Linked DNA regions of Styela clava. The protein of the gene in region 1 purifies or fractionates together with the protein of each later gene. This does not show direct contact. Links are inferred from orthologs where the notes say so. Each region holds a gene or a part of one and is shown in the gene's direction. Other genes may lie near its edges.

Evidence for each region.
Region 2: the proteins of vesicle transport protein USE1-like (region 1) and vesicle transport protein SEC20-like purify together in Homo sapiens (co-immunoprecipitation; 4 studies listed by BioGRID and IntAct, counting the BioPlex papers as one, with this or other methods). This does not show direct contact. The link is inferred for Styela clava from reciprocal best matches to the Homo sapiens genes USE1 and BNIP1.
Region 3: the proteins of vesicle transport protein USE1-like (region 1) and RAD50-interacting protein 1-like purify together in Homo sapiens (co-immunoprecipitation; 3 studies listed by BioGRID and IntAct, counting the BioPlex papers as one, with this or other methods). This does not show direct contact. The link is inferred for Styela clava from reciprocal best matches to the Homo sapiens genes USE1 and RINT1.
Region 4: the proteins of vesicle transport protein USE1-like (region 1) and sec1 family domain-containing protein 1-like purify together in Homo sapiens (affinity purification with mass spectrometry; 3 studies listed by BioGRID and IntAct, counting the BioPlex papers as one, with this or other methods). This does not show direct contact. The link is inferred for Styela clava from reciprocal best matches to the Homo sapiens genes USE1 and SCFD1.

The regions. Positions count from the first base shown.
Region 1 is NC_135261.1:1,556,458-1,563,776, forward strand, and holds the start of vesicle transport protein USE1-like, read left to right. Parts: upstream 1-4,302; 5' UTR 4,303-4,385; coding exon 4,386-5,165; 3' UTR 5,166-7,319. Other genes in the region: ketohexokinase-like, read right to left, coding at 616-719.
Region 2 is NC_135250.1:16,235,076-16,241,948, reverse strand, and holds vesicle transport protein SEC20-like, read left to right. Parts: upstream 1-4,915; coding exon 4,916-5,647; 3' UTR 5,648-6,358; downstream 6,359-6,873. Other genes in the region: zinc finger CCCH-type with G patch domain-containing protein-like, read left to right, coding at 2,363-4,087; cathepsin L-like, read left to right, coding at 6,424-6,603. UniProt on the Homo sapiens protein: As part of a SNARE complex may be involved in endoplasmic reticulum membranes fusion and be required for the maintenance of endoplasmic reticulum organization. Also plays a role in apoptosis.
Region 3 is NC_135250.1:9,702,304-9,710,095, forward strand, and holds the start of RAD50-interacting protein 1-like, read left to right. Parts: upstream 1-4,785; 5' UTR 4,786-4,873; coding exon 4,874-5,011; intron 5,012-5,767; coding exon 5,768-6,009; intron 6,010-6,621; coding exon 6,622-6,801; intron 6,802-7,347; coding exon 7,348-7,542; coding exon of another isoform or gene 7,543-7,571; intron 7,572-7,792. Other genes in the region: U8 snoRNA-decapping enzyme-like, read left to right, coding at 2,627-3,262. UniProt on the Homo sapiens protein: Involved in regulation of membrane traffic between the Golgi and the endoplasmic reticulum (ER); the function is proposed to depend on its association in the NRZ complex which is believed to play a role in SNARE assembly at the ER.
Region 4 is NC_135251.1:11,552,302-11,559,165, reverse strand, and holds the start of sec1 family domain-containing protein 1-like, read left to right. Parts: upstream 1-3,862; 5' UTR 3,863-4,043; coding exon 4,044-4,074; intron 4,075-4,889; coding exon 4,890-5,049; intron 5,050-5,300; coding exon 5,301-5,391; intron 5,392-5,729; coding exon 5,730-5,825; intron 5,826-6,262; coding exon 6,263-6,377; intron 6,378-6,656; coding exon 6,657-6,765; intron 6,766-6,864. Other genes in the region: uncharacterized protein LOC120336583, read left to right, coding at 1-90, 714-841, 1,200-1,382. UniProt on the Homo sapiens protein: Plays a role in SNARE-pin assembly and Golgi-to-ER retrograde transport via its interaction with COG4. Involved in vesicular transport between the endoplasmic reticulum and the Golgi.

The DNA.
Region 1 (7,319 bases):
TGTGATCATTTTCAGGCGCATCATTCATGAAAAGTTCTCGTTATTATAATGAATGAGCTGGATTTTATGATACTAAGCTTGACAGTATTACGATAAGGTTTGACACGAGGCTTATTGTTTTCCACTTTTGCTTTTGCAACACTTTGAATAGTGTGCATAAAATGTAACTTTTTACGTCACACTTACATGGCCCGCAAGTTCAAGTAGGCAAATTTTTTGGAATATTCGAATCGAATAGTAAATTGTTGAATCGGTTCAGAGCATAATTTCGAATCGCCTCCATCTTGTTATTTTTTTTTTCCGCCTATGGTCGAGGAAAATTACCCAATTTTTTTTAACAGAGCCATATTTTAGGAATACCATTCTGACATATGACTATTTTCTGTAGTGAGTTATTGATAAATAAGTGTTTTTTATTGTGTGTGAACGCTCCGCAATCTGTCTTAGTGATGTATTCAGTAATGAATTTGTTGACAGGACCAATTACAATAAAAAATTAGCATATAATTACATATCTCCATTGACTCACAAGTATTCGAGATTCGATTCTGAAATCATCAGGTATTCAAAAATGACAAGATCTATACTAAGTAACAAAATAATAGTAGGTCTTACCCATTTTGAGAATCTTCTTCTGGATATGACTCGCATATTGTTATTAAGTCAACACATATTTGTCCAACACTGAGGACATATTTTGAAGATTTTACGGAAGTCATTCTTGATATTAAGTCCTGAAAAGTAGAAAATCGTTTCGTACTCCCGTATTTTGTGAACCAAGATGGCGGATACCGGAACGTAGTATGTGTACCAGGTTAGGGTTAGGCCATAATTTCAGGTACAAATACTACAGGAGTCACTTGGCTATGTCTCCGAACTCGTGATAAATTATTGCCTAACCCTGTTGCACATACTACGTTCCGGTTTCGGCCATCTTGGTTCACATACTACGGGAGCACACGACGTTTTCGGTGCGAACTCGTTTTTCTCTGTACTGCGACAATACAACGCTACATTTCTCAAGTACTGTCGTCTGAATTGATATCCTATGTAGATACGACACTTTACAAATTCACGATGAATGACATGAGTCGATCAATCGAAGTTCACTCCGTGATATAAAAATTGACAGCAACAGACATGTGCAGGCGGAAATGCAAAAGCCACCGGACATCATTGATTACTCTGCGTGGGTTTGCAGGTTCGAATCCCATGCAGGGATGGTTATGTGCGAGAGGATTGCTTGACTCCTCGCCACTGTAGGGTGCCACCATCAAGTCCATGCTTACGAAAACAAAAAACTAACTAATAATAATAATCGGCTTTCCTCTCCCCCGGGAAAAATATGTAAATCCTATCCTATCAAGTTATTGAAAATATTATATTTTTTGACTTCAGTAAATTTAGTTAAAGCAATACTTTGCGATAGTTCTATTTTAATTCAAGTATTACATATCAAAACCTGATTTTCTGGTAAAACTCGTTTGATATTAAATATACATTCATTATATTGTACGTCCTTTTGATTTTAGAATGTATTGCCAAAGTATCGATCATCTTCTTGGCTATACTTGTGTTTCATGTATTCAAGAAAGGGGAAAATGTCATCACCCTCACGTACGTTCCTTTGAATGCTTACATGCTCTCGCTCGAAACAGAAGCTTCTGCTTCGTTGTTGAGCAACTTTGTGTCTGTCATTCCACGTCAAAACTCACAAACCGTGTTTAATCTTCGCGCTGTCAATCGAATTGTGACATAATCAATATCTGTTTATTTGGTAGAGTATAACAGAAATCGTAGCATAATAAGTAGGGTTAGAGTGCTTCTTGAATCATATTTGCGTGGTCAAGTTAACTTCAACAGTAATATTACATCTGTGAGGTGTGAAAGATTATAAACGTGCGCACGAGGTGGTAGATATCTAACGACGTCATATGTTAAGTCTTTGTGCATAATGTTTTGATTGACACTACGGAAATTGATTTTTTAATTGATAAAAAGGCTTTGACATACCTTGAATGATCATTTAAATGAAATTTTTCGTGACTCATTGTTGTGTCAGCTGCAATTTTAAAATTTGTCAATCAATCAATTTTATTTTGGTCACTCTGAAAGAAACAGAACAACAACAAGATAGCAATCAGAGACCGCCGACTTATCGATCTAGCGGCGTGTATCCTTCGCTCTGACTCAATAGCGACACCGCGTGTCCCATAACTAATTAATTGATAACTCGCTAATTATAGGACATTATTCATCCAAAATCAATAGGCTTCTGGTCTGAGATATGATGAATGTACATACAAGCTTTGGAGCAACCTTGCTTTCGTGGAATAGCGCGTAACATACGAAAGTATCTATCAGACAGACAAATACCTATCATTTTTTGGGGGATTTTTTTGCCTATTCAAGTCAATTGGAGCGTAATGCAACGGTTCTTTTTTACTTTAGCTTACGACATCAAACTCGCTATGAACTCGCTTCACGATGAGCGGCTAACCAAGATTAATTTTCCCATTTTTTGTCTCTTTATAATAGGAATTTATGCACACTGTATATTTTCCACAGTTGAGTATGTTGTCTGTTAATTAAGGTACTGTGGGTAGCGGTGCCCCGAGCCCCGAGAGACGTGGATCTCCCCAGATTCTGTAGTGATTTATTACGCACGTAATCAAAAAAAAGCATTAGCTATTATTCTTCAATAAAACAACGACTAATTTGACAATGAGTTTTGTCATGACGATTCTTATTATATGGAAATTCAAAATGTGTTCAATATATCTTTCCTCGAGAATATTGTCAATACCGCGTGCAAACTCTACCCTGAAGTTTGACCTCCGGATTTCAAATATATGACTCCTTGTAGCGTCATCGTTTCTATTAGCAAGACTGTCTGGATCAAAGTGACTATGATCTGGATTGGGTAGTTCAGAACTGATAGCTGTAGGCCTACATCTATCTCGTTGTTAGTAAGGATTAAGTGTCTATTTTATTCCGGGTAGAGGAAATACGGCTTATCATATAGAAAACCACGGTCTCTCGTCCGGTCCAAAGTTTATCTTTACTGTTCACTCCCATTTATAAAATTGACCAATTTGGCAGTGCAATCATCATAAATTTATTAATATGGTGTGGCAAGTAGTTTTTATTTATTTATTTTTTATTAACTACCAGTATGTAATTTTTCATGTTTCCTTTACTTAATAACTTCTATATGGTTGTGTGTGTGGGTGCGTGTAAGCTTGTGTGAAATATTTCAATTATTTTATGTGAGTGAACACGTACCACATCTTCTTGGCAAAACCTTCCATCTTATATGCATTCTGTACGTTTTAAACCTTATCTAAGGTTTTGTTCGCTCTCCTGATTTCATAAGCAGTTTTTATTTATTTATTTTTACAATTCATTTTATTGTTTTGCTGATTATGGAGTCGAAATAAACTTATACTTAATATACTTATACTTATTTGGGGCAATCTCCCACCTAAAACTAAAAAAAGTTATTTGTGCATGTTTTCAGTAAGACACTGACCTGCTGACTGACTGAAAAAGTATTTCCTAGTGAAATATTCTAATTAGTCCTAATACCTTAAATTATTTTCTCGAAATATAGACTATCTCGTGTTTGATTTGCTTATTGAAGGTCATGGCCATTTTTTCTAACTTTTGTGTGTGCATAATTGAAAGTTGCTGTTTTTTTTATCTTTTTTTTTACACAAATAATTGCTCTGTCATCAATCTGATGATTATTATGTTCAACTCTAAAAGGCATTGTTAATGATATTTCCAACTTTTTAATTATTGCTGAATCTGTGATAATACTGTAATATGATTGCTTCAATATTATCTTTATTTCTCCATGTATTTGAGTCCGGTACATGTCCAGTGAATATTTAATTATAAGAAAATATAATAAATAGCTAATTGTAAAAACCAATCTTGATATTTGTTTTGTTTCTCTGGGCCTGTCCGCACCTAAAAACTATTGTACATATTGTCGTTGTGCCTTACCTTTTTGTCTTGTGTATTTTACTAGAGTTTTATTTGTATTGTCAATTTCATGTCTGTTGTCCTGGTATATCGCATCAGTCCTAAAGTGCTGTTATAATTGTTAGGGGTACATGTCGCACATCTGTGTCTTAGGCCAGTAAGGTCTTGAACATGTATCCCGTCTCTGTTATACTGTTCAATTATTATGCAGATACTGTTACATTTTGAGGCAAATAAACATACATACTTTGTGTGACCCAGGATAAATATGTGAATCCTATCTTAGTTTATATTGCGGAAGTCAACAAACTAGACATAAATTCCAAATCTTTAATCTAATCTAGAGCTGTCACTAAAATAAAATAAATAATAGCTAAATATTAAGTTATTTCAAGATGGCTCCTGCAGTGAGAAGCCGAGCAGAGATTCGTCTTATACGACTGCTTTCCAGATGTGAAGAGATGGCTGGGTTAAACACACCTGATGACTGGAGACTTGAAAAGTATGTTGGAGCATTAGAGGAACGTCTACAAGCGGTCCAAAAGCTTGATTCCTCGGAAAAACCAAAGGAAGATATCATCAGTGAATACGCAAAGAAAATTAAATTTTTAAAACAACTTTTAGAGACTCAAAAATTACCTGTCACATCAGAAAAATCTCTCGCTAACCAACTACTCGTGCCAGCAAAGTCTCGGACGATTCCAACTAATAAAGAATCTCCGACGGGAAAGCAGATTCAAATGCAGGCATCGTCGAGATACACTACGGAAATGCGCGACGAACTCATGCTCACAGAGAAGGAGAAATCAGCCGGAGTGCGCTATAGAGCAACGTCTTCTGGTGGAAGTACGCAAAATGCAGACACTGAAGCTATACTGCAACATCAACATAAAATGCACGAAAAAATTGCTGACGAAATGGTTGCGTTAACAAGGAATTTGAAACACAACATTATGGCTTCTAACAGAGTTATAAAAGATGATTTGAATGTGATCGAAAAATCTTCTAAAAAAGCTGATCAGAATTACGGCCAACTTCAAACCGAGTCGTCACGACTTGAGAGTCATTTAAAGAAAGGGACGAACTGGTTGTTGTGGATATCTCTTGCTCTTGTCTGCGCTGTGTTTATGTTCATGATTTTTTTCATCAGGTTTTTTCCCAAAAGGTACTCTTGATTGTTCATCATTATTATTCTTGTAAGTGCCAATAATGCTATCTCAGGGGTGTGAAACATTTAAAACAGGAGGGCCAGATGGATATAACTGGGTGAAATCGCGGGCCACACTTAGCTTTTAAGGCATTATGAAGTCATAAGCCTAGATAGTAAATTGGATGTACCAAATCAAATTTAAAACTTGTTTCTCAGGCCGCACCTCATTCAAAATTGTCACTTCTTCGTGGGCCACACAATTATTTATAGAGGGACGAATTTGGCCCCAGGTTGCACACCCCTGTACTGCGCCATCGTAGTAAGAATGTAAGGAGCATACGATACAAGTTTTCTCAATATTTAATGTGCCTATAAACAGGGATGCCCAGTTCCGAATACTGCACTCTTCCGAATACATTCTAAAATAATATTTTCGAATCTGGAATTTTCAATACATTCTAAAATCAGACATACAAATTTTTGTTTTAGTAAATTACGGTAATATCCAGTAAAATAGGAAATAGCTCCAATAGAAATATTAGAATGAGGCCACAAACCAACAGTATATGTACACAAATTATTTGATAGTTTATGCCAAGTTTCTATTGAGAAAGTTAACATTCAATGAAGACGCTTCGAGAGCGATGTCGCAGATGTGTGACGTTACACAAAAATTCGATATTCCTATAAACGTTGATTCCGATATTCGAATGACGAGATATTCAAACTGGCCATCCCTGCCTATTAATCTACTAAACAAGATAATCAAATGCGAGAGGATTGCTTGGCTCCTCACAGGCGTTGGATGGTTCATGTAACCCGGCCAGTTGTTGATAACTGATAACTGATTAGGCTATCTAATTCCATCATGGATTGGTAACCGAACGAGTGGACATGGTTTGCCATATGATTGATTTGTCTTATCTGCTCTTCCGGGATAAATATATTGAAATCTTACTCTAAACCAGGGATGTGCAACCTGCGACTACGAGGAAAAATTGTGTGACCCGTGGAGAAATGCCTATTTTGAAATGGTGTGCGGCACGAGAAACGAGTTTCAAAATTCTCAAGTTTAATCTAGTACATGCGAGTAATTCCTGTGCGTTGCAAAGCCTATACCTGAGCTCTTGCGAAGCGAGCACTGCATGTCATCAGATCAATACTGGGGCTAGGCATTTTCGAATACCTGATATTTCAGAATCGAATAATTTTTTCGAATCGAATCTCGAATACTTGGAAGATATATAATCGCATGTAACTTTCTTATTGTATTGAACACACAAATTACTGGAAAAGTAAAATACATAACTCAGACAGATTGCTGAAGCGCTCACACACAATAAAAAACACATTTTCATCAATAACTCACTAATTTTTGTGCCTGCATCTACTAGAAAGCCTATGGTAAATAAATTTGCTGCCCGCGGTTTTACCCAATTATGTGTATCTGGCGCTCCTGTATTATTAAAGGTTGCACACCCCTGACCTGAACAGATGAAAAGATGCTTTACTGCCTGCCTGTTACCAGTTGTGCATTTAAATATTGAGAATCTACTTGGTACCACTTTTATAATGTTCTATTTTATTGCTATTTCTTGGTGCAATTAGTTAAAGTCTTGATGTTTGAATTGTATATTTTTGACATGTTTTGGTGAAGGATATTCTGCATTATTCATATCTTTAATCAAGGATTCAAGAACTTGGATCCAATCTGTGGATATCATTTACCTCAATTCTAAATCCCTTAATAATCAATAATTTATCTCCGTATTGATATATTGTGATCAATATTGGATTTGTTGGATTAAGTTTCACCTGAGTTGTGAGGTAGGCTGATTCTCACCTCTCTTTGTTGTATATTTGGAAAGCAACTCATGGATTATGTTTTCATGGTCATAAGCAGTGATAAGGAGGCTCCAGTCCAGGGGTTCCCAACTGTCCATGGCGTGGCCCCTTTCCCGAGGTTTTTTAGAGTTTTTTGTAAAAGGAAAAATAAAATCAGTTTTGCGCCTAGCATTGTGGCTCCCTTGTGGGCGCTCCAGTAGTATGTGAACCAAGATGGCGAACACCGGAACGTAGCATGTGTACCAGGTTAGGGTTAGGACATAATTTTATTCCAATTTTTCTTTTTTAGTCCTATTAGGAGTTCGGTGACTAGCCAAGTGACTCCTGTAGTATT
Region 2 (6,873 bases), on another chromosome or scaffold:
GCTCCAGGTCCTCTGCATTTTGTTTGTCCGTTTGTTGTTGTTTTGTTTCTTTCAGAGGGACCAAAATAAAATTGATTGATTGATTTTACCTGTACACCGGTAGCCTACCGGTACCGTAACCTAATGCTGTAATGCTTGGCAGCGAGTTGATGAATCTCACAATTGTCTGAATTGTAGTCTTCCATAAAGATATGTAAACTTTACATTGTGCCATAAATCTGTAAATATTTGACATCATTTCAAAACATTCCATATTTCAGCACGGCTGTGTGGCTCATCGTGTTAAGCGTTAGAAATACGCTCGCCACCGCACCTCTGATTACTCTTCTAGTCTTCGTTGGTTCGCAGGTTCGAATCCCATGCGGGGATGGTCATGTGCGAGAGGATTGCTGGACTCTTCGCCGCCATAGGGTGGTTCACGTAACCGCTGGTCGGTTACGGCTTCCTCCACCATCAAGTCCATGCTAGTTAGTTAATAAAAATAACTAACTAATCCCATACCCGACATGGAATGGTAACCGGACGAGAGGCCGTGGTTCGTCATATGGTTAAGCCGTCTTATCGACTTTGCTCTCCCTGGGATAAATATGTAAATCCTATTTAAATTCAACAGTACAGTGCGCTAATCACCTAACACAAATTAAAATTTCAGTATTTCGTCTAGTCTACTAATCTAAAATGTCGAACTATGCCAATGCTCCTGTATTTCGGAAAGCTGATATTTCAAAGCACAACAATAAAAAGAGCTTGTGGATTATTTTAAATAATAAAATCTATGATGTTACAAACTTCTATTCTGAACATCCTGGAGGGAAATCTGTTTTGAACGATGTAGCAGGAAGAGATGCCACAGCTGATTTCAATGATGTTGGTCATTCGAGGGATGCATTGATAATGCAAGAGGAATATTTTATTGGAATGCTTCATCCTGATGACCAGAAAAATTGATAAAATATTATTCTGTGAAAATTATAAACTTTAGTGAAAAAAGTTACTTTGATTAAATAGTCTAGTTGGCAAACTTCCACTGAATAAATTGACCTTGTGTATAACGTTCGTCTTTTACAGTATGCAGGTATAGCACCAAACAAAAATGTGATGTGAAAATGAACGGCATAACTGCTTGAATTATCCAAACAAAAAATGTGATGTGAAAATACAACTCAAATTTCAATTTTTTTCAAATACTGAAATAAGGGTCTGTTACAGGCAAACACTAAACCCTATTTCAGTAAGTTAGATGTGATTTCATCTAACATGTCTGTCTGTCAGTAATTTCGTGAGAGACAATTTTATTAAAAATTAAAAAAAGGATTTTCACACATTTTCGTTTAGCGCTAGGCCTATAATACAGTAATATAAGCAGTTACAGCATTTATTCGGATATGGCTTCCACCACCATCAAGTTCATGCATTTGAAACAAGTAACTGGCTAACTAACGTCGTACTCGACATGGATTAGAAACTAGAGGTCGTGGTACACCGTGTGATAAAACCAACCTGTTCTTATCGGTTTTCCTGTCTGCCAGGATAAATTTGAAAATCCCAAGATACAACATCATTGGCAATTATAACTTGATAAATTGGCTATTATTTCACCATGTCAATTTTGCTCTTTACATATTGAAACGAGTTTTTTCAAAAAATTCATGAACATTGAAGTGTATTTTTTGTCTTGTGTCATATATAATTTTATTTATCCCTACTACTGTTCTACATGTAGGCTACTACAGCAGGGCTACTCAACTGGCGGTCCGAATCCGGACCTTTCGAGTACTTGATTCGGACCGCACCTAATTCTTTATTTTGGACCATTAGCCCCACATTTGAAGTTTCATTTTATAAAGTAACTTTTATTGTTTTGAATATATATGAAATAAACTATAACACCATAACAAACAAGCTTGATTAGCTAAAAATCATTAGCCGGTCGAGGAAGTGTGCGTTTGAGGATGCCGAAATATAATTTGTGAAAACACCGGACCCAAATAATTTTGAAGTTTTGTATGCGGATCTTCGGTAAAAATAGTTGAGTAGCCCTGTACTACAGTACTACACTGCATCTTAAAAAACAATAAGAACATAAGGTAATTGTGATCAGTATCAGGCTATTTCAGTATTTGAAGTTGTAATAGCATACTAATCATACTTTTTTACGCTGTAGAAGGAGGCTATGTTGTTGTTGGTTTTGCTTCATCCTTTTCTTTATTACATTATTTGTTTTAAAAATGTCTGTAACAGGCTGGCGTGAACCAATCCATCGATTTTGTCAAAATATGTGCAATATAATAGGTAATTTTTTTAATTACGGTATATCCATGATGACATGATATATATTTTATTTAGTTAGGTTCATTCTGGTATGATTACAATGGATAGCATAACAACAGATTTATACAAGAAACAACTTGATCAAGTAAATGAAGCATTAAAAAGTCAAACGAATAATTCAGATGTAAAAGACTTATTGCAGTTGCGAGATGATCTGACTCAATTATTGAGTTTGTGTGTTGATTGTCCATCAGAAAATACAACTGCAATTGAGAATGCAGAATCATTGGAATATGACATAGCTACTGATAGACAACATGTAAGGAGTGGAACAACATCAAATATAGAAGATGAATTGAGTGCATTTTACAACAATGATTCACAAGCAGAAAATGACCAGGACAAAACAGGTCAAAGCAATCCAGATAATGTTGATGCTGATGGGCATACTATGGATAACGAATTAGCAAATTTTTATTCAGAGATATCTAATTTGGATACAGAATGTCCTTCTTTGCATAAGACTGATGAAAGCTCATTGTCAATATTTAGTGAAAATATTTCTAAATGTGAAAACAATGACTCGTCCGATCCAAACAATGAAATATTTTTGGACAGTATTGAATATGTGGATGACATAAGTGGTGTAAAATGTCAAGCACCGTTTTCTACAGAATGGTCAGGTACACAATATCACAATGCAATGATACAAGTAGCAGTGGAAAATGATGAAAGTATATGTGATAAGGCTGATAATGAAATGAACGTTAAAGTACTCTTTTTGAACCCAATTATGAAAGAAATGCAGCCTTGCCCATATTATCTTGAAGGGAATTGTAAGTTTGATGAAGCTGGCTGTCGATATTCGCATGGTTATATTGTCAATATATTTGAGCTGAGGCCTTTTGTCTCTCCAGATTACTCAAATTTAACTGAAGGACATAAATGTTTGGCTAAAACACAGGATGGATTATGGAAACCTGGTATTGTGGTTAAAATTGAAGACAATCTTTACTCTGTTAGTTTTTTGCACAAATCTCCAACTCTTACACTAGCTTTACATGACCTTTTGCCTGAGACTAATCATATTATTATTGATGAAAATGAAGTAGATTCTGACGAAGACATATTAGTAGAGATAACCCCCCAAAATTTATACAAAGAATATGGAGCATCAAGTTCCAAAGGGATGCCTCCTCGTTTAGGCTTATGGGAAGAACACACTAACGGCATAGGCTCGAAACTTATGCAGAAAATGGGATATCAATTAGGTGAAGGCTTGGGTAAAAGCAGTCAAGGCCGTTTAGAACCTGTTCCAATTGTCATGCTTCCAGTTGGTAAATCGCTCGACCATTGCATGGAAGTAAGACTTAAAAAGGGTGTAAAACACATTGGCGATACAAACCAAAATACACAAGGAAGTGAAAAAGTACTTAGGAGAAAAAAACGTGACAGATGTGTTTTTTCATTCCTCAACAAGACTTTAGGTGTCAGTGAAGCTAAAAAAGACTCTAAAAAGCAAATTGAAATGCCTAAAGATATGTTTGGAATAAAGGCTGGTACTGAACAAAAAAATGTAAAAAATTTCAATAAACAAATGATGAAAAATGAAGATGACATGAAAAAAATTAAAGCAAAAGTTCTCAAAGTAAAAGAATCATTACGAAGGAACCAATCTAATCCTTCAGTCGTCAAATCTTTGACTGAAAAACTCGACAAACTAAAGGAAGATTTGACAAACATGAAAGAACTGGAATCTAATATTAAAATTCATAAGTCAAGAATGGAAACTCATAGAAAAATGACAAGTTTTTGATTGGTGTGCAATACTTAAAAAGAAGATAACAACATAATTAAGAATTCCATGTAGTGTTAATACTATGAAGTTGTAGTTTCTATAAAATGTTTATTTTGGGATTTCTTATCATAGCGCACTAAAGTAAAATTGTTTTCACACTGTAGCAAGCAGAGCTTGTTTGAAATCAACGTGACTCCAGGTTTGGAGCCAGAGTATGTTCAAACAGCAGCTAGAGCTCCAGTTTTTACCTCTGAGCTGGGCTGAAATTTCACGGCAGTGGGTCTCAAAATCATGATGCTGAGAATGATAGATTTCATTATTTATTGGAGTGTGATATAAAAAAAATTATAAAAGGTAAATAATATGTAAACATTCAAGAACTGGGGACTCACTGAAAATTTCTAGTAGCTTCAGCTCCAGCTGGTATGGGGAACTTAGCGCCAGCTTCAACAAAACGTCATAACTGCAGGCTCTTATTTCACTAGATAATTAAAGCGTTTGGCTTGATTGCTCTCAGGTGATGACCCAAGAGTTTTTTAGCAATAAGTCACAATTCAAAAAAGTGCTCAAAAAGTGTTTTTCATTCGACTATTCATTTGAACTAAATTACATCGTCATTAATAAATCCTTGATTTAGAAAAAGTGATGTTGATTGATTATTTAATTTTCGTAAATATTTTGATCAATGCCTGATAATCAAGAATCAATTTTCATTATTTGATACTGACTCATATTTGCTAGCTATCACACTGTGACTCTGTTTTATTTGATTTTTTTGTTTTTGTATTTTCTCAATATCAAGAATAAGTTCAATATTTGTTTAGCGTTATTTGAGAATATAGGGCGATGAATGCACAAAGCTGGGTGCGTAAGTTATCTCTGGAGAAGAAGAAAGTTCCAGAAAATGCTGATTTGAAAGAAAAGATTGTTACAATGGATTGCTCTGCTAAAGCTGCGATTCAGGATGTCTGGAGATGTGATGGCACAATAGAAAACTTACAGACAATTCATGAAAATGCTCGTAGAAAAATTAATGAGCTTCGTGCTGCTATTCAAGATTTTGAAACAGCTGCACAGGAAGCTGATGATGTGAAACAAAAATTAGAAATGGAAGAGTCGGTCAAATTTTTTAAGGAACAAATTCAGAACACAAATTCTACGTTGCGCAAAGCATATTTGACTAAAAAGATTGCTCTCGATGAGGAGTCGAAAATGTTACTTCTTGGTGGTGCTAAAAACTCAGAAGTTCGTCGTCGTCAAGCATCTGCTGCAAATCAAGAAAACCTTGCACGAACTGCGAACGATGTAACACAAAGTCTGTTGAGCATAAGTCGGGTCATGAGTGGCAGCGTGCAACAGAGTGCTGACTCATTGAATACGTTAGTCAGGTCGTCTGGTTCTTTAAAACAGACCGATGAAGAATTGAAAGACCAGTCTGGCGTTATCCAGACCAGTCATAGGTTATTGACTAAATATAATAGGCGAGAATGCACTGATAAATTTTTAATATTTCTTGCATTGGCTTTCTTTTTCAGTACAGTGCTATATATTTTGAAAAAGCGTTTGTGGCCTGTGTAATAATTAACCCTATAAAATTTTACTAATAAAGAATGATATTGTTGTTAAATTCAAATATATTTAATTTATTAGAAATCATTATACTTAGTATTAGTAACAGTTATTCTAGATATCAGTGCTTCGTTTTCTAGAATTTCATTTATCGCTGTCTGGATATTTTCCTGACTGTGTTTAACTTGATTTATTCTGTTGTAGGTTAAAATTGGTTAATAATGTGCAATAATCCGTCAGAATCTTTGATATAATTTTTTTGTGGTATTGAGTATTAATACTGATCTAAAAATAATTCGGCAACAAATGTTCTAGGTTGATGTCACTGATGCACGAACAATGCAGGGTGAAAAAAAGATTCTACATGTTCATGTTAAGGAATATTATAAATTCAATTTAATAGTTCAGTACTCCAACCTAATTCTAGCTGATGACATAAATTTCTGGCGAATTAAAAAAAGATTTCAGTGGTTCAGCACTTAGGACTTGACAGTTACTGTTTATTTCGGAATTATGTATAATCTATTCAATGTTTATACAATATTGGTGTTGTCATGTGTATCTTTGTCTGTCATCTGTAAAATTTTGGTATTGGTTGTTGTCGGATAATGTGGGAAAAAGAAATAGGTTTTGACACAGAAATTTGATCCCTAATTGGATGAAATTTAGTTGTGCAGGGATTGAATATTTTATTTTGCCATATATTGTCTGTGTTTACAGTTCTTAAAATAAAGTTTTAGTTTTTAATATTTACCTGTAGGAATATTGAAAGGCGCTCAAATAAAATGAAGCTCCTTATTGTGGCTTTGGTTATTGGACTCAGCCAATGCTTTGGAGAAAATAATTCGTTACCTGGTGGAATTATGGAATTGGACACAAATGGTTTTCCACCAGAATTTGGTCGGGCATATAAAAAAGCAAAGATCCCATTCATTTTTATTAATGCTGATAAAGTTACACATCAGGTATTGATACTGTTGTAATTGTAATTAGTTAGTCCTATTTGCCTAGTATATTATGTTGTAATATTCATTAACAAATATTCTAGACATCAAACATCATTTCTATTGTGCTATTTTGTTCAGTATTGAAGGACTAATGTTTATGATGGTTAACCAATAGGCTTAACTAATAATGTGCCAAAATCAGATGGGTAATTTTAATATATGTAACCAATCACAGTTTGTGAATATCTCGCTAGGTTGTGCATGGAAATTACAACTAATATTTATGTG
Region 3 (7,792 bases), on another chromosome or scaffold:
AACACAAGCAAGAGATCTACGCACAAATATATGGACACGTTAGACCAGAGCGAATCAGTCTTTACCGGTACCTTTGACGCTACCGGTACCCTCAAAAAAGTTCTGAATTTCCAGTAGCAAGAATTTTGCAGAATCAAAACGTACAGCCAGTCATGACACTGACTAAAATCCGTGTTCCCATGAATAAAAAATAATACAGCAAAATTTTAGACGAAATATCAAATTTCATAGAATTCACGCAAAATTTTGAAATAAATAAAAGTAATAGCCTTCTAGCGAAGAAATTAATCTTTAACCACTGAAAATTTCAAAGCAATTGGTCCAGTATTCGAAGAGAAAAGCGATTTTTAAAAATGTGTCAAAGAACAAGAACAACAACATAATATTGAAACGATCGTTATGGCCACTAAACGTGTCCAATAATATTGAAACGATCGTTATGTCCACTTCGTGTCTAATAATACTCGCAAACGAGCAGCGAAAATAGAGCAACACAATTTTGTTGATGTCTAATTCTTTAGACAAATATCGCTTTTATAGTGGAGTATACACATCTGAAAGAATCTGAAAATAGTAATAGTCTGTAGTCGGCTGCATTTAGGAGTATTGGAGGTCGCGAATCGATTGTTTATTGGCTTTCGCCTTCCAGTCTCTTTGAATCGCACATGGTTAAATCTTTTGGATAAAAATTATAGTTTTTAACTTAAGCCATTGTGACGAGGCTTATTATGATAGTGTTTCGAAGAGTTGGCTCTCACAAACTGGTTTAAATTATCAAAACCATCATTATTAAAACAAGAGAGCTATGCTCAAATAAATGGAGCCGTAGGATAATTCATCATCACTTCACCGAAAACCAAAGATATCCTACACGAAGCTGAACATTGAAACCAACTGCTAGTATCCGGAGGCGCAGTTCTTACCACTTCATGGCAGCTCCTGCCACGAACGAACCGCGGCAGCTCTTGCCATGGTTTTATAGCGCTATTCAGTATTCAGTAATCAGTATTAACGGTATATTCACAAATTAATGTACCAGATTTTAATTGATCATGTGGAATTATATCTACTTAAACCCTAACCCTAACCCCAAATCAATCAAAACTGTATCCATAAGAAAAACGTTCCAACTTACACAATATTTGTCACCATAATAGACAGCCCTGTCCAATGTTCCCTCTAATTTTTTGTAGTATGTGTGCGCAGAAGTTTTGGTGTGTGCGCACTTTTTTGGAAATGACTAATATTTGTGCAAAAACCAATGAAAAAATTTTGGCGTTCTAACCGGGTAATAAGTGGGCCAACAACAAACTTTCTCAACCTGCCAACCGAGCACATTGTTACATTACATCGAAATAAGTCTGTGCGCACTGCGCAGTAAATCTATGCGTGTGCGCAGCCTCTGAAAGCTGTGTGCGCGCGCACACGCGCACACCTTAGAGGGAACACTGGCCCTGTCTTTACGGCCCACCTGCCGCGGTTACGGCAGCAAAATTTTACCTGCCATTGGTTTTCAATTTGCTGCCGCGGTGACGGCAGCTCGACATTGGTTTGTGGCAGCTAAAAAGTCAGTTGCCATGAGTTTGGTCGTAGCGGCCATGGTATGGAAATACCGCCATGGTTTTGCGGCAGCTGCAGATGCCACAGAATACTTAAAACTGCACTTGAGTATCCGTACCCCTGTACCCTGTCCGTACCGTACCCAGTACGGTACGGCACAGTTTACTTATTTCCAAAAAAGCCCCCATATTAAAAAACTTTAATTATAACTGTGACTGTAGGCCCCGCTTTTAAGAGACTGTTTGGGCTTCCATATCGGCAAAGGGACACTGTTATAGGTACACCCACTTTCCAGGTTCTGTGACGATTCAAAGTGAATTGAAATACCTACTGATTCGAGTTACTACGGTATCATTCATAACAGTAAATACTGCAGTCTACAAATATTATATGAACAGCAAGCGAAGCAGTAGTTCACAAAACGCTTGGTGGGTTAAAAATCGCGTTCCCATGATTAAATGGTAATACAGCGATATTTTTTGATAAAATATTAAATCTCATGGGATTTACAGGAAGTTTGGAGGAAAATAAAAGTAATAGCCTTCTGGAGAAAATTCCATCTTCAACCACTGAAAATTTCAATGCAATTGTCCCAGTATTCAAAGAAAAAAGCGATTTTTTAATGATAATGATGATGAAAAACAACAACATAATATTCCGAGGCTGATGTTTTGCCAGATTCTTTAGTTCGACGAACTTGAAAACGTTCACCACGGTCATATTTTATTTGATTCGCCAAGATTATTTACCTACGGTCAGACCGTAAATATATACTACTACGGTCAGACCATAGATTTTACATCTACGGATCTATGTATGCATCTATGATCTATGTAGACTAGATGCATGCACGAGACCCACGGTACTGTATGGTGAATAAGGAATATAAATCTGTAAGTAGGCCTATATCAGTATATATAAAAAAGTGCACAATGTTAATAATAATCCTCTATTGTACTTATATTTAAGAATAAACTAAACTAGCCTGCTTTTTGAGTTGAATTCTCAATTGCTAAATTGAGTGTTGTGCCTGTGTGTCACCATAACTCAATCACAATACTGTGATATGGATAGGCCATGTCTTTGGAAAGACCCTAATGCTGTTGCAATAAGCAAGGAAGAATCTCTTACATCCATGAGAGACTGCAAACATGCAGCTCATGCAATGATTTACAGTTTCTCTAGCAAGAGTTTATTTGGACGCATACCAATGCAACATAACATTCTAATAACGATGAGATTTGATGGTACTTTTGGATTTCCTGGAGGTCTAATTAATAATATAGAAGGCTCAGAAAGCATTGAAGATGGACTTAATCGTGAGTTAAGAGAAGAAATCAATTTGGATTTAAGATTTTTTATGACCGAAAATGAATATTTTCGTTCTTATCTTCAGACCCTAGGAAAAGGAAAATTGGTCAATCACTTCTATTTAAAACAAGTATCTGAAAGTGAATTTTTTGATATTGAAAAACGTTGTATTGATGCTGGTGATTGGGGCACAGAAACGCTAGGTATTGTGCGTGTTCCTGTTCAAGAGAAAGCTGGTTATCATCAAAAAAATTCCCCAATTGTGAACTTCTTACGTCATAATTTTGTTGGGAATGCAAAGCAAGAACTCGTTGAGGGAATGATAAAATGTGATATTTTTTCACATGACGAAATGCTGAAAATATGGAAGATGTCAGGGAGAGTAAAATAGTTTTCTAGCTTGTCTAACGTTAGATGAAGTTTCACATAATTTCAAGTATAATTTCACACAATTGAACAAGGCTTTGAAAAAGCAGTCACTGATGATAAGTTCATAGCTACCTTAGACCGGACCTCATTCTTTTTTTAAATATAAAATATATCTCGCATATGATTTTCATTGTGGAAAATTGAAAGCTAGAGTTATAAATGAGTTTTTATTATGATAGAGTATTCTGCACTTGAAGTAATTATTTCCTAAACCTTTATATGGTTTATCCAGAACTCACTGTATTTTTTGTTTACCGATATGGTATTGGTGATTTTGTTTGCTTGTGACATTCTAAAGATTTCAGTTTCATTTCTTGTTCTCTGCATTATTGTTTTTTCCATTATTATTATTTATTTACATTAATTACTTTACATACTACTATTCTATAACTTTTGAAAAATTTACGAATTTGTTTTTAGAGAGTTAGGTAATAAAATTGTAATTGTTGTTTTTATTTGTATTCCTGTAAAACACTTTTTGGTCTATTTCTGAGTTTGGTACAATCAAGCAACTATTTTCAAATTTGAGGAAATCGCAAATGTTAACAAACCAGTTTGATTTGTATCATCGAACAAAAAAAATTTACAATTCATGTTATAGCCTATCTTTGTGTGTGACATTCATTATTAAATAGTATATGAGGTGTTTATAAAGTCCTGTTACAATTTTCAAAATTTTTATAGGAAATTATTACTTACCTTATAATTCGACGCATGAAATCCAAATTGGGCTAAGTTCATTTTTCTAGTTTTTTGTTTCTTTTTTTTATTTCTCTAATACCTTACATCGAGGATGTCTAGTTTTTATGGTCCACCAAAGTTACAATGAAGGCCATATTTGGATGGTATAAAAAAATTTGTGTTGGGGGTTTTTTTTTGGACTTAACCCTTTTTGGCTCTCAATTTTCTGGACCAGAAACAATTTTATTGGACTAAGGGCCCCTTTATTATGTTATTATAGAGGGAAAAAAACGGACTTAGCCCCAACTTACAATGCAGTTATCCAGAGTTAAGTCCACTATAGTAGACACAGCTCTGTTTAGTTCTCAAATGCCCTAAAAAAAGCAGGGTTATGTCCATAGCTGTCTTGAGATCTAGAGCACCTAGAGATAAGGCAAATAGACCAAAATGTAGAGCTAAGTCCAGGAAAATCAGCAATTGAAAAATGTCATTTTTTGGAAAAGTGGACTTAGCACGTTTGGTTTTGAGGTGTCGAATATGTCCTGACTCCTAACCAGGTTTTTGTATATTTTTAGGGCATTACTCTTGGTTAGACATAGCAAAATCTTTCTCAATACCCATAAATTAAATTAGTTATGGACACGGTGGTAAAAATTTTATTCCTGATCAACTAAAATTCAGTCCTTGGTAGTATTTATGATCTTTAGTTTGCACTTCTATATACAATATTTGAGGTGACCAATTGTCATATACAACATAGATGGGTATACATAATTTATGCAAATTGACCTTTCATCACAGATTATCTTAAATCAAAGAAATGGTATAGAATAGTAATAGCCTATATTTGAGATTTTGTGTCTCATTTTTGACCCTTGTCTGTGAAAGCTGTATGATGAATCGTCATCAGGGGATTGTTAAGGAATTTCTTGACACAAATTTTGGTCAAGTAACAAGGATTGATGATTTAGCAAATGCAAGGGAAATATACAATCAACTGCTTGGAAGACAACGTGATATTGAACACCAGGTTTTGATATATTATTGTACAGAATTTTGATATATACATATATACAAAATTAAGGTCATCAAAAATGAAACAATGATTATTAATTTGATCCTTATGCGACACTGACTTGGTTTTAATTATAGCGATTATAGAAAAATTACATCTCATTTTATCAAGGTCACTTTAAATTGAACCTCAACTTGCTATTAATTCTGGAAAATAAACGTCAGTTTAAGTCGATAATTTTGAAATTTTGATTGCTTGTTTCAGGCATTTGATTTTTTAATCCCCCCCTCCCTCCAATCTGAGCATTTACGACTTTATATTCAATTGGCTCCCCATGGTAATAATATGATAATCTTCCACTCCCTTGTTGAAGATGACCATCATAATGTAATTGAGTTCTATTATGTTTGTTTAGGTCACAGTTACAAGACCAAACAATTCATATGAAAAATTTCATATGTTACAGAAGGCTAGTTTGAGTGAACTATTTTATGGTGGTATTGTACCTGTTTAACTCTCATATGCCAGAAAATGTTTTTTTATACAAGATAGGAGCAATAATATGCATTATGCATCATAATTCGCATGTGCATTTTAGCACAAGGGTGGTCTCCATGTTTTATTCACATATATAATTTGTCCCCCCCTTTGCGTCGCTGGCGTTTTAGTTTTTTTGCTTTTCAGACATTCTGTCTTGACACCTTTGTTGACTATATCTCGGAATAAACGTATTACTGTACCAATACTAAGAAATTGTTCTTTTATTTATAGCTGTCTGTTATTAGAACTGAAGTTCCAACAAAAATTGAAAGTGCAATCCGACTTTCTGATGAAAGTTTAACACAAGGTGAAACTCTCATCGCACAAAAAGATGTTCTTGTTAAAAAAATTAATCAAGCTATGGAAGAATGCCAGCCCATAAATGATGATCTTGGAGGAATGGTTTTTCAAGTGAAGGAAATAGAAAAATTTGTTGTTTATTTACAATGGTTGAAACATGTGGAAGAATTGAGGTTTGTCATAGATTGCAGACAATGTTAACTTTGGCAACTTATGAATCTAACTATATTTATTCGTACTTGTTAGATTATATATTGCTTCCAATATGTTAACAGTCACATTTGGCTATAATATATTTATATATTTTTCATTGAAAATTATTTAATGACTGGAAATTGTAAGACTGAAGTGCTTGAAGTAGTTGAATTGATGTCATCGTAGCTGTTGAACTTTTTATTATGATGTCATAGTGTTTTACCATACAATGTTTAGCCTACATTTCAGTAAACTGATTTCATTGTTTCCAGTAATCACAAACAGGCTATCCCGTACACTGTGCAAGGTTTAGATACTTTTGAACAAAATATTTATTTGTTAGTTTTTCAAGACAAAATGTCGGGCAAACTTTCAAAAAAAGCTCGCAATCGCTGTAAATATAATCGGGCGTTCCAATATGATTTGATAAAGAATTATTTTCAGAATGGAAAATATCATTATGAAAACTAGCTATTGTTATATATATTGCTGAAGAATGCATCCATCACGATTTTTCAGACCCTAGAATTAAAAATCAAAGCCAATCGTTCATAATGCCCACTCTTCAAGTTTATGCATTTCTTATTTAGTGAAGAAATACAGAGATGCATTTCGAGCGACAATTTGAGTGGTGGTAGTCAAGCTTTTACCAAGTTGATAAAGGTTAACCAGATACTCACAACACAACATTCAAAATGTGAAAGTCTAATGAAATTTACTTCCGATACAATTCTATTCTGGCATAAATTTTTGAAGGACAAATTGGCTTTGTAAGTATCAGTTATTATTGTTATGATAATTGAGGTAGACTAGAACAGTAACAAAAATGCTTGCAGAAAGTTGTTTAAAGGACTGTGAATTTAAAATGATAAAAAGGGTGTTTAATAAGTTTGGTTTTCTGTTTGTGGGATAAGTGTGCAGTGTGTTAATTTCACTCAAATCGATACTTACAGAAATTCCACCTTAGAAAAATTCACCTAGTAAATTTCCTCTCTGAAAGTGTCATTGAAAATTTCTTCTATGGAATATCCCACTCAAATAAAATCCCCAATGCCAACTTATTTTTTAATTGATTCTTTGTAAAATGTGATATTTTTATCGCTTGAATCAGAATTTTCAGGTTGATATTTTCATGGTTCAATTTCCTCGGGTGCTATTTTCAGGACACGCTCCGAGTGACCATAAGTAGTTAGTTACAAATCAGGGATGAACTATTTCAGAAGGATTTCATTGTTCAATATTATCCCTAACATTTTCTCAACCAATTGGAGTTACTTTATCATCCTAGTATTTAACACTCAAATTGTCCATTTCAGAGAGTTGGAGAGTGTTTTGAAGCACATAAGTTGGCCTTTTATTCTTGCCCCTGGTCCACGAACCATTCCTAAGACACTGCCAGGCTCCTCGGGCGAGAAAAGTTCTAGTAAAAGTGGAGCAAATTCCACAGCTTCAACGGATCTACGTGCAGATTTTGAACGGGTTTTCACGAACTTGTTAATGATTCAACTTCCGTATCCTTTCATAGGCTATTTAAGACTTGGTGAAAATTAGCATATCATTTTCAGTTGTTCATAATTATAATTTGAGGGTGCTTTGGTTATTGTGTGAATAACTTCTCCTTATGTATTTTTTTACTGTGCTTCCATATATGGCAACCCAAGCACAAGAGGGCAATGCTCAGCCCTCAAATATGTGTACATAGAGGTTCTAAAAGTTTTCCCTCATGTCATAAAAAGTATTCCTATAAATTAGAATGAATCT
Region 4 (6,864 bases), on another chromosome or scaffold:
GGTACCATCCCATACAACCTGCACTCGCCACCACACACAGTTATGATTATCCCAGCAGTGCAAACCATGTTCCGACTCCAGCCAATGCAAGTAAGCCAATCTACCTCTACGACCTTTTGGCACAAATCAAAGCACTATAACACTGCATATGACGCAAACTGGACAAAATGTAGTTAATTGAGAGGGGCATATCCGGTGGTGAGATTCAAAATTTAAAGAACCGGTTCTCTCATGTCGCAACATGACACTCTAATAACACATCATTTTCAAAAACGTCAAATACAGCACTAATTATCCATCAGCACCTAATTGCTGTTGTCTAACGTCTAAAACAAAAAACAAGAACGAATTCAATGATTATCAGGTCATTCCAAGAATGAGTTTGCCATACCGTGTGTCCTACCTCTGGGGTCTGGGCATAGCTCATATGTTCAAGTACCATCTCACTAAGCGTTGTACTTGAGAATAAACTCAATTTAAATCTTGAGTGTACAATGAGTTTCCTTGTCATGTAGTAAAAAGAAAAGGTGTTTGCAAGCCAGAATCGAGAAAATATATCATGGCACGAGAGTTGGCCCATGTTTAGAAAATCATAAAAATATACAATTTGGGTAAAAATTACAGAGAAACACAAATGACTTAAAAACATGATTGATGATTGTCATATTTAACTCTGAATATTCTTTTTCTAATCCTTTTTTATTCTATTTCAGATATAAATATTGATAATAATGTTCATGTTTGTGTGACTTGCAATCACTTGTTCTCATCCATGGAAGCATTTGATCAACACAAAAGGAAATGTTGTAAATGTCCGTTCTGTAACAGACTATTCACAGCGGTATGTTGAATTTATGACGATAATTATGATGGTGAACTGGATTTTTTTTAAATATGTTAGAACTATCTTGTAAAACAAATTGTTATACCAATGTTATATCGTGTGTGGTTAGCTTGTCCGCCAATTGCCTTCTTGAATATACTTTATGGACCATGCTTTCAAAATTACATTCGTATGTTCAAAATGCCGTTATACCAATTAATTTTTTTGCCAATTTACTAAGTAAAATTTGACTTATACTTCAGGGTATTTTGTAAAGTAGATCCATTTAAATTGACAATATATAACTCAAAAATAACTTTCTATTCAATTTATAGTTTACTATTTTGAAATGTTCATGGTATTTTACCTCTTACAGTATAACAATATGAAGAGGCATATCAACATTTTCCACATCAAGCAGAAACCCCATAAATGTAAAGTATGTGGCCGTGCATATGGCATCAAACAAAGCATGAGGATTCATATGCTCAACAAACATGGGATCCCATTCATCACAAGGAAATATCAGTACAAGAATAGAGATTCCAAGATCATCTAAGATTTCCATTCATTCAAGGAATATTGTGTAGTTTTTGTTCATTCCATTAACTGGAGCATTATTGTGTTATATTATTTTGTGCAATATCTACCGACTAAACTGCTAGTTTGTTTGTTTGTGTGATTCAGCTGAATAGCTATCAAAAGTATGACGTTGCATCAAGTTTGGGAGGAAAGGTGTTTAGCTCGCCAGGGTTAGATTTGTATCAGATTATTATTAATGACATATTTCATTCATTCTGTAGAGCCTACCTCCTTTTATCGCTGTGGTTTTGCGGCGAAACTCTTAAAAAAAACACAGCACAGCAACAATTCAAGTTGAAAACAGATTCTTGAAGATCGCTGATGACTGCATATGTCTTAAAATTAATACATTTTATTTTAACTTTCCTATCGGCGAAGCTGTTTAGAACTGTTTGTTGTGACGCCCGGGAATTAATATGAAACTATGTTTGAATATGTTGCAAAGCCCTAAGTATTATACTGCGAATGTTTCCCGGGGTAGGATGGCGTAATCTTTTGATTTGTTGAACTTTAAATGGGGCGAAGGTCCGACTGGAGAGGCCAGAGTACAATGTCACACGAGAATGTATATTTTACGCCAAAACATAATGGTTCTAAGTGAAATTCACAGACATTTCTCGCAAAACCTAAACAACAACAAATTACGAGATTCAAAACAAGGTGATAAAGTCGCAGTCCATAAGTCATTATGATACAAAAATCATTTGACAGACAATTTACGTGTCCAAATAATTAGCAACATTTTTGAAGACTGATATTATATTTCGCGATATTTCAAATACAAATTTGCAAAGCTAAAAATGTAAGTTTGTTTAGATGTGACTACAGAGGGTATTTATAAAAGTGTTCATTGAGGGTGCATTGGATGAGAGCAGAAGTTTTGTGCTTTTGTCTAAATTTAGAAAAAAAATAAGTGGTTCGCTTTGCGTGTAGGCTACGTTTTCTTGAAAACATGAAAACAAGGCTCAATGGCGCATGGATACCGGTAGGAAAACCCCTGAGTGCACCGTGAATACTAAATAAGAAGGGTTTAAACAGAAAACATTTTGATGGAACATCGAGTCCATAGAACACGAGGAAATTTCATTGGTGATTCTACATGTGTGTGCTCTTTCTGATCACCTTCATCATTCTAGTGACCTTGCGTCTTCATATTTACCGTGCCTGGAAGAGGAAACGAATTTAATTCGTATCAGCTGTCATTTTACTGGTATTGCAATTTGGATTTAGCTCTCAGATTGACAGACTACTTGCCGTTCACGTAGCCGCTGGTCGGTTTCGGCCTCCTCTACACTGGCATGGGCAAATTACGGACCGCGGGTCGAATCCTAAAAAAATAGCTCAACGAATTTGTTGACTTTTCAATTAAATTTAATATTGGCTCAAGGCTTATTGTTTTCCACTTTTTCTTTTGTACCACTGTAAATATTGTTCATAGAATTTAACCTATCACGCCACACTCACATGACCCGCCAGCAGTGGCGTAGCAAAACTCTCGTGCCCCCCCCCCCCCCCCCGCAAAAATATTTCGTGGAAATGACCCTAAAAACTCTCGGACATAAGCTAAAACAACGCTTTTATTTATTTCGTCAAAAAGCATAACACGTCGCTATTAATGGTAACCTAAAATTTGCCGTTTATCTTGATCACTTTAATTTTTTTCATACGTGCTTCCTCTTCTGCCCTTTCTTTGCGTTTCTGTGCGCCACTGAGAGGTTTTGCTTTCGACATCATTCTGACAACCTTTCTAACTTTGCCGGTGCGATCAAACCACAAAACGCCGAAAATCGACGACTCCCTGGCATTGTTACGTACCAAAATGTTTTGAGCAGAACTAACATCAACGTTTTAAAATGTGCATTACTGGTTTTGCAATGCAGCTTTTGGTTTTACGGCTTAAATTTCTAAATTCTAATTTCTAACCGCTTAGGCCCCTTTGCGCTGTGGGCCCTCCCGCGACCGCGGGGGTTGCGGGGGTGGATGCTACGCCACTGCCCGCCAGTCTAGGTGGGCAAAATTCCTGGCCCCTTGTTCAAAAACCTTGCCCACCCCTGTACCATCAAGTTCATGTGTCTGAAATAAATAAACGGTCCACTATCCCATATCCGACATGAGCTGATAGGCCGTGGCTTATCTCGTCCTATCGGTTTTCCTCTCTCCCACGATAAATAGAAAAATTCCATCCTAATTACGATATATTAAATGTTTGTGCCCACTAGGTTTAAAATAGAGCAATATTGACGTTGAAAAATCCGTGTTCCCCTTAATATTTTATATCATAGCTTTTGAATAAAAAGCACCATTTTTAATTAATGGAAAAATTTAAGACCTCTATAGTCAGACTTATTCAATTTATTTGCAAAACTTTTAAAAACATGAATATTTTTCTTTAAGCTCCGAACATATTATTTTTACAGGGAGCACTTGTTAGCGTGGAAGAGCTGACGAGTCAGGCACAGTGGTTTACTACTACAGTTCCCATGTTATGTAGCTTAGCTTAATCCTGTAATCGCATTTTACTTTGATGTTATGTGTTTTGGATTGATCTGCTAGCCCGTTATTTGCTTCATGGGTTTTCGTGGATAGAAGGAGATTGTCTTTGAGTTGTTCTTTAATTTTCTAATCCTATTCAGCAAGAATGGCTGCCTCTATACGAGAACGGCAAGCAGGTATGATATATTTCTGTATTTTTACAATTCCGTGTTCCGATAAAGAGATGTCTAGGCTATATTGTTTCTTTGAACCTACAGTATCGTCATTTCTCATTTTGAGATAGGACTTTCGTATTTCAGTACCATAACCCTTTTCTGCCTTTCCAGATGAGAAAGAAATTATGGAATGGTAAAGTCTGAAAGTTGATGTGCTTTTCACAGTTTTATGGGCGCATGTTCACAAAAGGCATAAATATTCTAGTTGGCGTGGCACAAACATTTTTACTTATGTTATTCCAACCCCCTACCCGACTACGTCACAATCACGTCATAGAGCTTGCCAAAAAAAAGCTAGGTCACCTGAAAACGCATCTCTGATAATGATAACGAACTCGCTAACGCCATCGGATCTCCCTCATATCAGGATCGTTAGGACTGTAGGACGAGAAAACAAGAGAAATAGCTTGCTTGATTTTGAGTGATCGTCTGCGCGTTTTAGATGACAATCTGTATACTTTGACGGGCCTTATTTCGTCACTGTGACGTTGTAGTGGCTTAATTTTGTGATGGCGTAGTCAGGCGAGGGTCAAAAATGACATTTGCGAAAATGGTTATGCCACGCCAACTAGAAGTACTTGACGGCGTTTAGTGAACTTGCCTCTTTTTTTGCGTCCTATCATTGAATTTGGTTTTGAAAGCTTTTACGATGAGCAACCATTTATAAATAAAAAAATTTTCCCCAAAATTCTGAATATATTTTCAGTTGATGCTTTTACAAGACCTCGTTCACAGCGAAAGGCAAATAACTCGGTATAAATTCATGTTAATTTTAGTTGCCATCAAGAGAATGCTACATTTTGGAAATCCAGTAACTAAAGCATCAAGTATGGAACCAGAATGGAAAGTCTTGATTTATGATAGATTCGGTCAAGATATTATTTCACCTTTATTATCTGTTAGTGAATTGAGAGACATGGGAGTTACATTATACTTGTAAGTAAAACTATTGTTTAAAGGCATCTATTTTAGGACAAATTTTATGTACAGCTTTGAGAAAGTTTGATTATTGCAACTTCGATCAATGATGGCTCATAACTTAACTACTATACATCGATTTTTTATTAATTGGAATGACTTTATTTTTAATATAGCTTTGCATAATTTATTTCACGATCGAATTGAGGGCATAAAATTGATGGCAAGTTGCAAATCAAGTATAACTCTATTAATATTTTTTTATTCAGGTCTCTTCATAGTGACAGAGATCCAGTACCAGACGTTCCTGCCATATATTTTATTTTACCAACAGATGAAAATATAACAAGAATGTGTCGGGTAATGTTTGAAGGAATTTGTAACATTGGCTGACAATTTTCTTATGTTTTCAAAAAAACACAGCTGCCGAGTTTGTAATGAATGATAGCTTTGTGATTATTCTTTTGTTAGTTTATCATAGTTTGGGTGGACAAGTTGTGGGGGCTAACAGGGATCAATTCCAAGACATATCCTGTTATGGTAATATGTACCACTCTGTAGGGCATTTAGCCCTAGTCACCAGATATTAATATACAGTGTTGAGTGTGACAGTTTTATATACAGTCAAGTTATTAATTTGAGAATGGTTTGCTATTTGGTTATTTAGTGACTGTTTATGTTTTCTGTTCTTTTTACAGGATATGCAAAATGAGCTTTATGAAGGATATTACTTTAATTTTATATCCGCTATTCCGAGACATAAATTAGAAGATCTTGCGAGTGCTGCTGTATTAGTAAGTTATTGTTGTAAGAATTGTAATTTGGACAATGAAGCAGAATTCTGTTAAAAGTTCTTGGTCTGTCAACTTGAATTGAATCACAAATGACAAATGGAAATATTAGACATCTTTGTTGATGACGTCTTTGCTGGTGCATGATTAGAATTTAACACTATGCTAAAAGTTTTTACTAAGAATTAATGCCTTGAAAAATTTTTTTTTCGTCTATCGTTTTTCCCTGGCAATGTTGACTTGAATTCAAGGTCTCATGTCAACCATTATATATTGGAAATAAGCTTATTTATAGCTCTTACTGTGTTAGTGGTCAGTGGCAAAATATATAATGCACATCAACATATTTAATAAACATTACCAATTTTTTCATCATAGTTCCTATTTTAGTTACATTAATGTGTTAAACATTTTATAACCATACTCTCCCTTTTTTTAAGGCGAATGCAGAATCTTATGTTACTAAAGTTTTCGATCAATATTTAAATTTCATCAGTCTCGAAGATAACATGTTTCTTTTGAGAAATCAAAACAAAGATGCAATTTCATATTACAGTAGGTTTCTTTTTAGTTCAATCAATTGTCTTTTTCTAAAAATATTGAATTTATGCTTATTAAGTTAACCGTATTCAATTATACATTTGGTGATTTTTACATGCAGTTTATTGGCTTCAGCTTTGTAGTTGTTATTTAATTTAGATATTATTAAGTCAGAGTTTACAAACTCACTGTTTTCAACGCAGTTATATAGCATCTCTTGGAATACGAATGACTAAAAATGTTTGCTTCTGCAGTTATATACTGTTATAATGCCATCCATGATTATTGAAACAGGTATCAATAAAACTGCCATCAAAGACACAGAAATGATGAGCATAATTGATGCAATTGTTGACAGTCTTTACTGCGTGTTTGTATGTCTTGGTGCAATTCCAATAATCAGGTATGTTTTCTGTATAATGTTATCTTTTTTTCATAAATTTATACCCAAATTATAAGACATGAATATAGAAATATATTTTGAAAGTTTTAAAAAGTCTTT